2 linked regions of the Anolis sagrei genome follow. The main gene of each other region encodes a partner of the protein of the gene in region 2 in a complex. Links are inferred from orthologs where the notes say so. Each region holds a gene or a part of one and is shown on either strand. Other genes may lie near its edges.

Region 1 (8,005 bases), on a different chromosome or scaffold from region 2:
TCAGGTATCCTGGTGCTGGGTTATTTTAGAAGGAAACAGTGTATTTATCTGTCTCAGTTACATACTCTTTGAGGGACAAGACAAAACTGCCATGTAATGAAGTTTATGACTCATATAATGCAGCTAAACTGAATTATAGAAGTCTACACTAACCTTATTTTGCAGTTTCAGTGTAGATGGGGCCAAAGTTAAAAGCCTAAAACATGTTGTTCAGACAGACACTTCCCAATAATTTTGATTAATTCTCTTTTATGCATCTATTTTCTTTATTCCTGAATTAATATTGCTTGTTTAGGCCAGCAATGTGAACATTAGACAGGAATACAACATTTTTGTCTTCTTGTAGCGCATAAGCAGCATGCAAATAAATGTTGGGGGAAGTATCAGGACTAGTGCAGGTTATGGTGTTTTATCCATGACCACTAGAAATGATGGGACACCACCTTCTGAGTTGGTCCTAACATGATGAACAGAAAGAAGAGATAGCTGTATCCTAAGGATGTAAAAAGTCTATGAAATCTACCTGGAAACACTAATAATCTTCTGCTTGACTATTACATTGCTTCTTGTTTTTCTCTGTACTTTAGAGCAAACATTTTTGCATGCAGAGGTTATAGCACACTATTAAATCTTCCTTTGTAACGAAAGGTATCCAAAGAGCAGGAGATAGTATTTGTTTCTTTTGTGGGGAGTTGTAACACATAGCATCACACTTCTATGGGGGGTCCTGGAACCAAACCTAAACAGATACTTCTGTTGGGGTCCTAGAACCAAACCTAAGCTCTCTTGCACTCCTTCTAAAACTGTGGTCTCTTCTTGGTTCAATGTTGGGTGCAACAAAAAAAATTGCAACAGTAAAAGGTTTCTGAACACTATCTATTTACACAAATCAGTTAGGAACAACATGAAGTGTTTACTTCCCAGAAAACACTCCAGAAAACAAATCAGCCTATTTAGCAAGTCTTGCAAATGTTGATTTATTACCAGTAAATGTGTGATTTTTATACCTATTTAATGTACCTATATACCCAGGATCATGTAAAAATTTCTCAAGTGGAAAAGGGTTGCAGGAAGAAAAAGTATAAGAAGCCCTGATCTACTGTACACCTATTGGATCTCAGGGGAAAGATAATAATAATGATGATAATAATATTTTTATTTGATAGCCACCTCTCCTCATGGCTGAAAGCAGGTACAACACAGCTAAAACACACTACTATAAAATACATACATCGTCTGGATTACTGTAATGCACTCTACGTGGGGCTGCCTCTGAAGAGGGCTCAGAAACTTCATCTGGTCCACAGAGCTGCAGACATGTTGTTCACTGGGGCTAGCTACAGGAAGCAGACAATCCTATTGTTTAAACAGCTCCACTGGCTGCCAGTCTGTTACCAGATAGAATTCGAAGTGCTGGTTATGACCTTTAAAGTCTTAGACATGTGATTCCCAACCTGTGGCCTGTGGACCACCAGTGGTCTGAAAGAACTAAACTATGGTTCACAGCCTCACTGTTACTACACCATTGCAACAAGAGTGACTGGTCTTGGAAAACTCTCTTATAGTGCTGAGGCTTATTAAATATGGTTTTCTGTGGGTGAGCAGATGGTGACTACTGGATGGCATATGTTCTGTATCAGAAACTAGAGTTGATGTGATCCATCCAATGCAATTTTCTGAATAAGCATCCCAAATAACCAAACCAGATGTAATATTGACCAAAAACGGATTCATAACCCTTCTGGTACTAATGTTGGTGCATGGTCGCTGGTCGAAAAAAAAAAAGGTGTGGAACGACTGCCCTAGACAGTTCAAGTCCAGGCTATTTGGTCAACCACATCCACTTGTATGAGCCTACCCGGGCGAAGTCCTTCTCTTGGTCCTACCGCCATCTCAAGTTAAGTTATTGGGAATGAGAGAGTGGGCCTTCCTTCTCGGTAGCTGCCCTGCGACTCTGAAACTCCCTGCCCAGGGAAGCAAGAATGGCCCCCTCCTGCTACCCTTCAGGTGGCATGCTAAAACCTTTTTATTCAGGCAGGCATTTAAAGAAGAAGGTTTTAAAGATTATCAGGGACCACTGTGATTTTATATGTTTTAAATGATGTTTAATCCTGTTTTAATACGTGTATATTTTAACGCTTTTAGTTGTGAGCCACTTTGAGTCTCCGTATGGAGAGAAAAAAGCAGGATATAAATAAACAGACTTTTAAAGATGAAGGTGTCCAAGAACTAGTCAGGGGGTTCTGTGCTTTTGAACTGTTTTGATGGATTTTAACTGCGATTTTTTTCAAATGCTGCTGATGTTTAATTCTATTGAATGCTTGCAATCTTGTTTATTTTAAATGGTATATTAATGTTTTTAGGTCAAGCTGCCTTGAGTCCCCTTTGGGGAGATAAAGTGGGGTATAAATAAATATATTGCAGGTTCAAATCTGGAGAGCGGCGTGAGCACCTTGCTGTTCGCCCCAGCTTCCACCAACCTAACAGTTTGAAAACATGTGAATGTGAGAAGATAAATAAGTACTGCTCCAGTGGTAAGGTAGTGGCGCATCTTCCAGTCATGCCAGCCACATGACCTTGGAAGTGTCTACGAACAACGGTGGTTGTTTGGCTTAGAAATGGAGATGTGTTGGACATGACTGGACTTAATGTCAGGGGAAAACCTTTAACCTAAATAAATATAAATCAAACTACAAGAAAGGAGATTCCACCTGAACATTGGGATGAACTTCCTGACTGTGAGAGCTGTTCAGGGGGGGACCTCTCTGCCCCGGAGTGTGGTGGAGGCTCCTTCTATGGAGGCCTTTAAACAGAGGCTGGATGGCCATCTGTCGGGGGTGCTTTGAACGCAATTGTCCTGCTTCTTGTCAGGGGGCTGGATTGGATGGCCCACGAAGTCTCTTCCAACTCTATGATTCAATAATAATAATACCCTAAAATATTTACATTGAAAAACACGGCCACAAAATATCTGTATTACAATTCACGGTGCAAGAGTGATAAACATACAATAGAAATAGAAGGTGAATATAAAACTCACAAGACAAGGAGCAAACAGGAGCTACTAGCGCAGGCCTGGGCCAACTTGGGCCTTCTAGGTGTTTTGGACTCCAACTCCCACCATTCCTAACAGCCTCAGGCCCTTTCCTTTTCCCCCTCAGCCGCTTATGGTGGGAGTTGGAGTCCAAAACACTTGGAAGGCCCAAGTTGGCCCAGGCCTGCGCTAAGAGCAGCAGCAGCAGCTTCTGTGGGAACTCCGAAAGGTGGGCGTGTTTCTGCGAATGGCCGCCAAAGGGGCCGGGGCCCTTCTCCTTCCCTCCCAGCGAGCGGGGCCCCGTGGACTCACCCACTCGTTGTCCTTGGGGCTGAAGCGGTAGAGGGCCACCTGGCCGGTCACGTCGGCGATGCTGGTGATGTAGGGGTCGTGCTGCTTTAAGGCCGCCAGGCTCATCTCCTGCCCCGCTTGACTCAGAGACGCCATCTTGGATCCGGGACCTCGGCCGCGGCGGGGAAGGGAAGGAGGGGAGGCCCAGGGAGCGTCACCCGCACTGGTCCGTCCCTCTCTAGCCGCCGGTCGGAAACCGCCTTCGCCCGGCTTTGCGTTCCACTCTGCTGCGCCTCTCTAACCCGTCCTTGGTGTTTCTCTCAACTGAACTAATTCCAGAAGGGAATGGGCAACGCCGGGAAAGAAACCCAAATGAATGTATTTCCGCAGCTCTGACTGCTATTTAACGATTGCCGCGACGGAAACTGTTTCACCTAGAAATACATTTCCGGCTCTTCAGTGTTTGGGGTGGCACGTGATGGAGTTTTCTGTAAAAATTGGGACCCAATGAGGTTTAATGTCAAAGAGGTTTCTGGAGTTGTGGGTCATATATGCCCAGGTATGATTGCACACACACACATACACATAAAGGAGGTTTAATTTTAACGTTTTTGGGGTTGTGTGTCATATGTGCATGTATGTTTGCACATTGTGGGATTAACATAATCCCACAAACTCTGCTGGTACAGCTGTACCAGGAGCTCCAATTTTGTTTGCTTTGCACTGAATGTTTGCTGTAGTCCTAAGTTTCAGGGACTCTGCAGATAGGTGGCTTCTTTTGGCTGCAATCATAGGGCAAGCCACCTGTCAATTATAGTTAGGTTCCCTGGTCCCGCCCCCTTTTGGGTTTTTGGGAGGGAATAGGAGCCAGTTTTGGGTCAGTCCACACAGAGAAGCCTTCCATGTAGGACATAATACCAAGAGCTCCTGTAGAAAGCTTCGTCTTCTACGGCTTGGCCGGGGAGATATACAGCTCACAGCTTGGCCGGGGTTATACAGCCCTACAGTTCCTTTGCTGAAGGACTTCAGTTAGCCATCACGGAAACCTGAGTTCTTTTCCCCTGGAAGTCTACAAAGCTCTGCTTGGTAAGGGTCACTTGCGGAAGCCAGAAGCAGTTGGTACCGGGTGCAGGGGCTCCACGCCAACAGAGGCAAAGATAGACTGCCCAGATTAGAAGTTAAGGATTTCCCCATTAGTTACAGTTATGAATATAGTGCCTGTTCCCTGTGGACAAGATTGAGAGAGAGCCAATAGACTGTTAAGAAAGCCTTAAAGTACCTGTTTGTTTTCATTAATAAAGAACTTGGTTGAACCTTTAAGCAATCTAAAGACTCTGTTTTAAGAAAATCCAAAGGCCTTTAATCTGAGGCAGCCCCGGCATCCCGTTGGGCACACAGAATTTATGTCCTGTCTACAGTCTGATGCACAGGCCCAGGCGACAGCACACAAACCACTGGGTGAATTGACACCAGATTTGGACACAATACACCTATTATTATTATTATTATTATTATTATTATTACGGTTGCTTATACCCCGCCCTTCTCACCCGGGGGGACTCAGGGCGGCTTACACAAACAAGGCACAATTCGATGCCTGTATTACAAAAACATAACATCAGGCCAACGAGTGACCATCACTCATAAAAACACTGAAAAACACAGCAGAAGAGACTTCAAAAGCAAAAAAAAAGCCTCCACAAAAAATATATTACAACGCACGCGCAAAACCACATATATACCCAAACACACATATACACACAGTCCCCGAAGGGGGACTCAGGATGGCTTACATTGGCAACAATTCGATGCCATAAATACAAACAAACAACAATATAGCAATAGTTTAAAACAATAAATAAATCATTTGGTTAAAAGCAGTTAAAACATTTGTCAACACCATGAAGTCAGTCAGTTTCTTCTCCCTTCACCCCAACCCTTACTTATTTGTATGTACTGCATTTGCAATATAGGTTGCTGTATGAACTGCATCTGCAGCTTCTCCAGGACCCTGGAGACCAAATGACACTGTTTTTGTGACCTTGGAGGTGATATTCTCATCACTGGCGGCAGAGTTTTCCAAAATGTTGAGGAACAATGAGAAATAAATCTAAGCCTTCTTGAGCTTCATGTGGTCAAAGCTGCCGAATTCCTGCCTCTGATAGAGTATTTTCTTCTTCAGTTCTCTAATATGAATTTTGAATTTGAGTAGAGTGTATGTTCTTAAATGGGTTACCCCATGCCTCCCCACCCCGATTCTGTATCATTAGCTGATATTCTTATATGGTGGGTACCTTTTCCAGTAATCTCTTATGGAAAGAAATATGAATGACTGGGCGGGCACAGACTATACTAAATATATGGTGATGGAGTGGTGCCCAGTGCAGTGCTCTTAATAAGGCACTGGGGAACCACTTCACAAAAAAGCACTCTTTGGATAGAGAGAGTTATCACTTAATTAAACAGTAATGTTTGCTTGGGAGGTATCCAAAGCAGTTGACAGATGAGATCCAAAACCTTACCGTGGACTTTTTGTCTCATTTGATAACATACCAAATTTCATGACATTGGGATAAAATACTTAATTTCTATGTATGTAGTATAAAAGATGGATAAACATTGTGTGTATTGAGTCCAAATGTTTCCTTTTTTTCCCTGGAAACTTGGCAGACACCAGCAACCAATGGCTCTGGGACCACCTTTGGTCCTGGCACTGCCACTCTGAAGTAGAACTGGTTTAGAGCATTGTTTCTTAAACCCTGGGTCCTAATCCCAAATATATGGGCTTATTCTAAAGAAACATTACATTATAATATAGACATTGTTTTACAATAAAAATAATATTATAAGCATATATATTATTATATTTTAAATCTGTTTAAGCAACAAAAAATATCCAGCCTAATAACATTTCTAATATACAATATAATGACATTATAATTGCATTATGTAGTATAATGTAATATAAAAGCACATTGCAAGCAGAACTAATTATATTAGTTCAAGAATTTAATGTAAGAATCATTCTGCTTTGTAATACAATACAACTCCTGTATCAGTGAGGAATGTGTTCCTAAAATTTGCAGGGGAAACAGGAAACCATGGATAATAGCTAACCCTATTGAAATAAATAACTTCTTACTAGTATAGAACCTCCCTTGAGGACCTCGAAAATGTCTAAAGAGGTATCCTCTAGGAATTTGCTAGATCGTCCAATACCATTATGTAATTACATCTGGAGGGTCCCTTGGTGGCACAGCGGGTTAAACCGCTGAGCTGCTGAACTTGCTGACTGAAAGGTCAGCAGTTCGAATCCAGAGAGCAAGGTAAGCTCCCATTGTTAGGCCCAGCTTCTGCCAACCTAGCAGTTCGAAAACATGCAAATGCAAGTAGATCAATAGGTATCGCTTCGGCAGCAAGGTAACAGCGCTCCATGTAGTCATGCTGGCCACATGCCTAGGAGGTATCTACAGACAATGCTGGCTTTTCAGAGATGAGCACCGCCCCCTAGAATCAGATACAACTAGACTCAATGTCAAGGGAAACCTTTACCTTAATAACTTCTGGTATAAGCACACCACAGAATTTCTAGAAAGGATATATTTTGTTGGAGGTGGACAAGTCCTGCAGGCATGGGAGCCATGCTTTATTTTAGAAGTTCTTTTTTCACAGATCCGATAGCAATCACACCCTATTTACACTGAACAAAATGTGTGTAATAACTTATGAAACCTGTTTATGATATAGAACAACTGTTTTATGTAGTTATACTAGCCTTTCCCAGCTTGGTAGCCTTTTGAATTGTTGAATTGCATCTCCCATCACCTTTGACCAATGCCTATGCTCTCTGAGGCTTTTGGGAAATTTAAATTAAAGCACTTGGAGAGCACCAGATTGGGGGAGACAGAAGCGTGTTCTTTCTGCTATTTTGTCTTTTAAGTGTAGATACCTCCAGGCCTCTCAGGCAGAACAGGGAGACTAATGCAAATCGATAGGCTGTTTGTTCTTTCTTCCGAAGCTGGTGAAATCCTTTAGGAAATTATATGGAAAAGGAAGCATTAAAGGAACTATGAATAATTGAAACCATGTAATCTAATGAAGTACAAGTATAACAGCATAAAAGAAACATTTACTCTACTGGAGTGTTCCCTATAGTTATGAATTTAACTTTCTTTCACCCATTTAAGGTGAAGCGAATAGATAGGAAATGCTCATTGTAAAAAAAAAGAAAGAAAGAAAGAAAGAAAAGGCTGTAAACCACAGCAGTGATCCTAAAAGGACAGATGCCGTGGATCGCTAATTTTAATCCTTCTGTTCTTCTCACAACAGCAATGGGAAAGGTTGAAATAGGTCAAAAGTAGCCCTCCTTACATTGCTCAAGAACATTCAAAAGATTAATAATTTATGGATTATCTCCTAGAAACAATGATCTGGTGCAGACAGGTAATCCAATATCCTGTATCCTTCTAACATGGGGTGCCATTTCATCAGGGGATTGTGCATGAGTGGCAACTTTTCCGGAAAGGCAGCAGCTGCCTGCCAGCTGGAGACATACAAATTGCAAGAATTTGTTTCATGATTATGACATCTTCCACTGGATGAGGGTAAGTGGTTCAATTGCACAGGTGAAGCTGGGCATTGCGTCATTTACACGTTGGAAGCAGTTTTGATCGTAAATAA
Region 2 (7,676 bases):
CTGTTCTTAAGGTGAAAGGCACATGCCTGTGTTTTAGATGGATTAGGGATCAGCTGGTTTCTCCTGTAATAGGCAGTAAGAGCACCTAAAGCTTCAGAGAGTTTCTGTTCTAACATCTCAAAGCTCCTTGCTTGAGCAGTGATGGCACGATCATCAGCATAGATGAAACTCCCTGTCCCTTCTGGCAGTGGCTGGTCATTTGTGTAAATGTTGAACATTAACGAAGCGAGCACGCTCCCCTGAGGCAGGCTGTTCTTCTTCAAACCAGAAGTTTGTGGGATTAACATAACTCAAAAACCACCGGACGGACTGAAATCAAATTTAGACACAAGACACCTCTCAAGCCAATGAGTGACCATCACTCATTAAAACACTGGAAAACACAGAAGAAGGGATGCAAAAAGCCAAAAAAATAAAAAATGCATTACAATGCATGTGCATAATCACATATATACACATATACACACACATATATACATGTATATACATACAAAGCACATATACACAGACTGGGCCACAGCAACGTGTGGCAGGGGATGGCTAGTAATTAAAAAAATATTTGAATACTCATTACGAAATCAGAATTTCCAAAATTGGATGGGGTCCGTATCATAACTATAATGAGTTCACTGCTTTTTCGTTACTTTTCGTTAAGTAATTGTGCCAATGAGGACACTTCAAGGGTCCCTTTCTCCTTCATTTTTACAGCTATTGGCATGAAACTTGGTACGGTTATAGAACCCAGTGACCACTGTGTGCCCACCAAGTTTCAGAATGTTTCGCTCCTCCACTGATTTTGGGGGAATTTTCAAAATTTTTACAAACAACATTAACAAAACCCTACAAGAGCACTCTCCTTGAATTTTCTGCACAATGACACAAGATGACAGGAGAGCATTCACTCCCAGTTTCTGAGAGATTCACACATATACTGATTTTTGGGGGATTCAACCATTCATTGGGACTCTGTCAGGAAGGAGGACCTCTTCCTCCTCCTCATTGGGGCTTTCTGATGCTGAGCGGAATTCTGGGAAATGTAGTTCAGGGCAAGGCCTTTTGCATTCTCTGCCATAGGGCTCCTCGCCTTCCCAAACTACAGTTCCCAGGATGCTGTGCTCTCTCTACAATGTAAATAGAAAAAGTCATTACACGCTCAACTGGCTGCATCCCACTTAACATTCCAGCTTCCAGAGAAGTGGCAACAGAACGACCTCCCTCTTGCATAAAACCCTATACGGCACCGGCCCTGCGTACCTGTCCGAATGTATCTCCTTCTACGTCCCGCCTTGGAATTTAAGATCTTCTGGGGGAACCCTGCTCTCGTCACAAATGAGATTGGCTGGGACGAGGGACAGGGCCTTCTCGGTGGTGGCCCCCCGCCTGTGGAATTCACTCCCCAGGGAAATTAGATCATCGTCATCCCTCCTCTCTTTCAGAAGGAAATTAAAAACATGGATATGGGACCAGGCCTTTAGGTAATCTGGCAGACTGACAATGGACAATGACGACTAAAGTTTTGGAACCAGATTATGATAAGCGGAATGAATTTATTAATTATGGACTTGGCAAAACAATGGCCACCAGGCTAGCTTTTTATTGTATTAATGTAATGTTTTAATTGTTATAATTATTGTTATTATGTATTTTATTGTTTCAGCAGTGACCAGGGGAGCATTTGCACAATTAAAACTTGTGCGCCAGCTGCGCCCAGACCTTGGGAAGTCTGACTTGGTCACGGTAGTCCACGCTCTAGTGACATCCCGTATAGACTACTGCGCGCTTGTGAAGCTGGTGGGACCGAGAGCAGGGCCTCCCCAGACGATCTTAATGTCCTAACTGGTTCATAGGCGGAGACGCGTTCGGACAGGTAGGTCGGGCCAGAACCGTTTACGGCTTTAAAGACTAAAGCCAGCACTTTGAATTGTGCCCGGTAGCAAATTGGCAGCCAGTGGAGCTGGCGCAGCAGCGGAGTTGTATGCTCCTTGAGTGGCGCTCCTGTTAGCAACCTGGCAATTGTGGGAGTTGAAGTGCTGGACCATTTGAAGCTTCCGAGCAGTCTTCAAAGGCAACCCCACGTAGAGAGCGTTGCAGTAGTCTATGCGGGATGTAACCAGAGCGTGGACTACCGTGGCCAAGTCAGACTTCCCAAGGTACGGGTGCAGCTGGCGCACAAGTTTTAACTGTGTGAATGCTCCCCTGGTCACCACCGAAACCTCGGGTTCCAGGCTCAGTGACGAGTCCAAGATCACACCTGAGCTGCGAACCTGCGTCTTCAGGAGGAGTGTGACCCCATCCGGTGCTATACCAAATCTGATGGAACTGGACCTCTTCGAATTTGCCCGGCACACTTAAGAACAAGCTCATTGCTTGGAGGCTCCCTAACACCAAATCTGGACCGGATATGAGACTGGGCAGGAAAGACATCTCGGACAACGTGTGGCTCAGCCATCTACCTGGCATGCCTCTTAATCCAATAGTTTTGGTCCAACTCTAACAATAATAACACACGACACTCCATTCTGTGCAGCCCGAAAGACGGTATCCTTCCTCCATCACCAGAATGTGCATCCCATACAAGTCTCCTCCATACCTGTCCCACACCTGCCATTGGCCCCGAACTCTACCTGCCTTCTAGGTGCTGAGCAACAGATGCCAGAGGTGCATGCAAGAACAAAGAAAGTGCGTTACCCCTGCTGAGTGGCCGGTTGCGGCTGCGGGACCGGCTCCGTTGCCGGTGAAGCCTGGACCTCCGCAGCAGCCGGTAGTAGTAGGAGGGCCTGCCGGAGCTTCTCCTACCATTCACCGACATCTCTTTTGGGGGACGGTGGTGGGGGTCCTCCCAGAACCCTTCCACTTTCTCCACTTACAGACAAGGAAGAAATAAAGGATGGGAAGAGGAGGAGGAGGAGAGGAAATAAATAAAGATCACAGAGCTGGGAGTCCCAGCCTGCAAGGCATGTGCCGGTCCAGAAATAAAAGCCGGGGACTTCTCCTCCGGCTCCAGGGCCAACATTCTCAGCAGGCCAGATAAACATAGCCCAGAGTTCTTTCCTGCCCCCTCCCCTCCCCACACTTTCAAGATAGGAGCTGCAAAGAGGAAACAGGACTTGGAAAGGGAACAAGTTGAGGCGGGAGGAAGTCCTGGACTGGATTGCCACTGCTTTGTGAGGCCAAGGCAATAGCACACACGGGAACAGGTCTGGCTGGGGTTGTGGGTCCCTACAGGGAGAAAGGCCGGGCATCAATAAAGGTTGCACTATGTAGTAAAATTTGAAAAAAAATGTTCTCTTTGTGGTTTGAAAGTGTAATTTCCTTGTTAATTGTGCGGTTCTTACTTTGCACCAAGAATTGGGAAGCCCTGGCCCTTGAGCACTGTAACTGGGGGTCAGCTGTGACCAGCAGTGCTGCAGAATTAAAAGAGGAATGATTGGAGAGTGAAAGGGAGAAATGTGGAATGGTGAGGGTTGAGGTCCAAAACACCTGGAGGGAAGACTGAAGTTGACCCGTGCCTTTGTCCCCTGGGAATTGAACGCTTCAGTCAAGCAAGGGATCATCTGCATACCCACGTTGTGGGAGTTGGAGTCCAAAACACCTGGCCCAAGTTGGCCCATGCCTTTGTCCTCTTGGAACTGGACACTCCAGTAAATTAAGGGATCATCTGCATACCCACGTTGTGGGAGCTGGAGTCCAACACACCTGGAGAGAGGGACCAAGTTGGCCCAGGCCTTGGTCCTCTTGAAACTGGACACTTCAGTCAATCAAGGGATCATCTGCATACCCACATTGTGGGAGTTGGAGTCCAAAACACCTGGAGGGAGGGCCCAAGTTGACCCATACCTTTGTCCTCTTGGAACTGGACACTTCAGTCCATCAAGGGATCATCTGCATACCCACGTTGTGGGAGTTAGAGTCCAAAACACATTAAGGGAAGGCCAAGTTGGCCCATGCCTTTGTCCTCTTGGAACTGAACACTATGGTCATTCAAGGGATCATCTGCATACCCAGGTTGTGGGATCTGAAGTCCAAAACACTTGGACTTCAAGTTGGCCCATACCCTGGCTAGAGGCAAGTGGGCCAGGTTTACTCCCCTTAATGATGGATCCCTCAATAAGTGAGAAATGGTAGTGCCTCCCATCTTGGAGATATTTCTGGGAATTGTAGCCCCAAAAGTAAAACATTCCAAGTCCTGCATCTTTTCCATTTTCATGGGCCCTGGACAGGTGGGAAAAACAACATTTCCTTAAGTTTTAGTTCTCAAGTATCTGCTATGCCCAAGTACACTGCCCCTGCATATGGAGGCTCTCTCTGTTGGCATATGAACAAAAAGGAGCTCCATTCAGCTCAGCCTTCTCTTGCTTCTGCAGTTGGTCTAACCCATTCACAGCTTGGGCTGACATGTGAACCTTGCACATTGAGATTCCCTTCTATCCTTCCACCACATGGTGAAATTTGCAAATGCTCACCCACTAGCATCAAAAAACGAATTGAGACTGAATTTTCTCCCATGCACCAAAGACACGCGGAGCAAAGGTTCACCAGAAAGCAATAAATATTCCTGGAAAGTCCATGCCAGATTTTGCAGCGTTCCTCCCCCAAAACCCACAAGTAACTTTCTGAAGGCCAGGAATGGCCAATCAACGCACCAAGTTCAGGTCAAAGGAGCAAAGGCACAGCTGGGCGACAGATGACTCCGAGAGGCACAGACAAGGAGGAGGAGGAACTCTTTCTTTCTCTTACTTGTACCTATTCCTCCTTTGGGAAAAACTGCAATCTGCCCTGGGCATGCCAGACCCTTGCAAGTATTTGCATTTGCCCTCCCCCCCAAAATATACTGGGCGTCCTGCAACACCAAATGGACTGACATTCTGCAAATGGAAATTGGGGCATGTGAGATCAAATATACCTGGTTGTGGTCAATGTGGCAAAGCACAACTAGGAAAGACAGCAGCTGTTTGCTTTTGCCTGAACCACCAGGGAAGTGCCCATTGAAATCATTGGGTCTATACCAGGCCTGGGCAAACTTGGGCCCTCCAGGTGTTTTGGACTTCAACTCCAACAATTCCTAACAGCCAGTAGGCTGCTAGGAATTGTGGGAGTTGAAGTCCAAAACACCTGGAGGGCCGGTAGGCTGTTAGGAATTGTGGGAGTTGAAGTCCAAAACACCTGGAGGGCCCAAGTTTGCCCAGGCCTGGTGCATATAGCACTTTTGCATCTTCAATTCTGTTTGCAGCCACAAAGGAAAGCTGAGGACAAAGGAGGAAAATGGAAGGAGGCGAGAGAAACTGGGACGTTTGAAAAACAGCTGTAAAGTGGGACGGTACAGGACTAATAATAATAATATTAATAATAAACCTTTATTTATGCCCCACTACCATCTCCCGAAGGACTCGGTGAGGCTTACAAGATGCCAAGCCGAAATACATCAGTAAAAACAGCAACAACAGCAATACAGATAATGCATAAACTCATAAACAAAGCAATAAACAGTAACAATAACACCACGGCGCATTAAAAACCTATGGCAGGGCCAAATGTAATAATTAAAATTATAAAAAATGCTGGGCATGACAAGGTGACATATAACTAGGATGGGTATTTGGAGAGAGATGGAGCGAGCAGAATAAGGATTGCCACTGCCACGTTACAGAAGTTGGAGAGGCGGGAATGGTACTATTGAGATTGGAAATCATGCTGATTTTTATTTTTCAATAATAATAATAATAATAATAATAAAAATTTCTTTATATTCTGCTCTATCTCCCCAGAGGGACACAGGATGGATTCTTGTAAAGAAGACCGTTTTAATCCCACCGAATGCCACCAAATGTGAAGGTGCGAGTGGTAAAACACCCACTAATCTATGAGGGAAGCCGGGCAACGATCAATATCAGCCTAGGAACTATTTTATAAAGGGACTGTTAATGACAGAAGGTCTTATTCAGTGGATAGCGTAGCGTTTACTGTTTCTGGCTGACTTTACTATTGCAGGCTGTTCAACTTAGGAGAAACTGTATCAGGCAAGGCTTCAGGAAAACAGTAACAAGTTTATTTTAACAGGAGTATAACATATTTAACTGTTTCTTCTCAAGAGGCACAAATCTTGATGGTTACATTGGAAAGGTTTCATGAGTAATCTCAGGCACAGACTTCAAAACGTTTCACCACAGGAACAGCAGGCTTAAACCCAGCCAAACCTTGATTCTTAATTCAGAATCAACAACCCCCTGTAGCTCTCTCACTACCGGGTCCTTCTCTGCAACCACTTTGGTCACCAATTGATTCCCTGAATCTCCACCCTGAGATCCAGTCTTTCCTATAGCACACCGGCTACAGACACATTCCCTGAATCTCCACCCAGAGACTCAGTCCTCTCAGTAGCTCTCCGGCCACTGGCTGACTTTTTAAAATAGCTGCCTCCTCAAGAGGCAGTTGGCTCCGCCCCTGTTGCTATGGCAACTCAGCTAACGCCAAGCCACCATCTCCAACAAAACATAATCTCCCATACTTACCATCCCTAAACCACTATCCAAACTACCCATAACCAAAGCAATAAAACTTACACATCGTCACAATTCTAAACATAAAAGGCAAACTTTCAATGCCTGAATACAACAACAATACATCCATGTGAACAAAATGTATACAACCCAAAAGACATCGAATTCCATGTGCGTCTCAGCATTTTGAGCTGGACATTATTTTCGGCGGTGACCAGGTTTCGGCGGTGACCAGGGGAGCATTTGCACAGCTAAAGCTTGTGCGCCAGCTGCGCCCATACCTTGGGAAGTCTGACTTGGCCACGGTAGTCCACGCTCTGGTTACATCCCGTTTAGACTACTGCAACGCTCTCTACGTGGGGTTGCCTTTGAAGACAGCTCGGAAGCTCCAACTAGTCCAACGCTCGGCAGCCATGATTTTAACAGGAGCGGAGCGCAGGGAGCATACAACCCCCCTGTTGCGCCAACTCCACTGGCTACCGATCTGCTACCGGGCTGAATTCAAAGTGCTGGCGTTGGCCTTTAAAGCCCTAAACGGTTCCGGCCCAAGTTACCTATCTGACCGCATTTCTGCCTATGAACCCACCAGGAGTTTGAGATCTTCCGGGGAGACCCTGCTCTCGATCCCGCCTGCTTCTCAAGCTCGGCTGGCGGGGACGAGAGATAGGGCCTTCTCGGTGGTGGCTCCTCGGCTGTGGAACGCCCTTCCTACGGACATTAGACTAGCACCATCTCTAATGGTATTCCGCAAAAAGGTGAAGACCTGGATGTTTGTGCAGGCGTTTGAGTAATTTAGTGCAATCTGGTAATGGAACATAGGAATGGAACAATGGACGGCGAACCTGGACTACGCTTGGATGAGGAGAAGATTGGGGACGGTTGTTGTTTTTTGTAATAATTGTGCATTGTAATGGCTTATTGGTAATTTATGGATAATGTGTTAAGTCAATTGTTCTATGTTGTATGGAACCACTGCTGTTTCTACTGTTTTTACTGTTTGTGAACCGCCGTGAGTCGCCTTCGGGCTTGAGATACAGCGGTATAGAAGCAAAGTCAATACATAAATAAATAAATTATTTGGCTCAGCTAGTGAGCATTGCATTTTACGCAGCTACATAAAGGCCTGAGAGTAAACATGGTGAAACAGTGCAACCCTTGCACTGGAGGCCAGGGTCGAAT

The links.
Region 1: DAB2IP (region 2) and DCP1A share a complex: the UniProt entries of both Homo sapiens proteins name them as parts of the cytoplasmic complex. The link is inferred for Anolis sagrei from reciprocal best matches to the Homo sapiens genes DAB2IP and DCP1A.

The regions. Positions count from the first base shown.
Region 1 is NC_090022.1:60,979,052-60,987,056, reverse strand, and holds the start of DCP1A (mRNA-decapping enzyme 1A), read right to left. Parts: upstream 3,529-8,005; 5' UTR 3,482-3,528; coding exon 3,347-3,481; intron 1-3,346. UniProt on the Homo sapiens protein: Necessary for the degradation of mRNAs, both in normal mRNA turnover and in nonsense-mediated mRNA decay. Removes the 7-methyl guanine cap structure from mRNA molecules, yielding a 5'-phosphorylated mRNA fragment and 7m-GDP.
Region 2 is NC_090031.1:2,168,166-2,175,841, forward strand, and holds the start of DAB2IP (disabled homolog 2-interacting protein), read right to left. Parts: upstream 3,068-7,676; 5' UTR 2,810-3,067; coding exon 2,689-2,809; intron 1-2,688. UniProt on the Homo sapiens protein: Functions as a scaffold protein implicated in the regulation of a large spectrum of both general and specialized signaling pathways.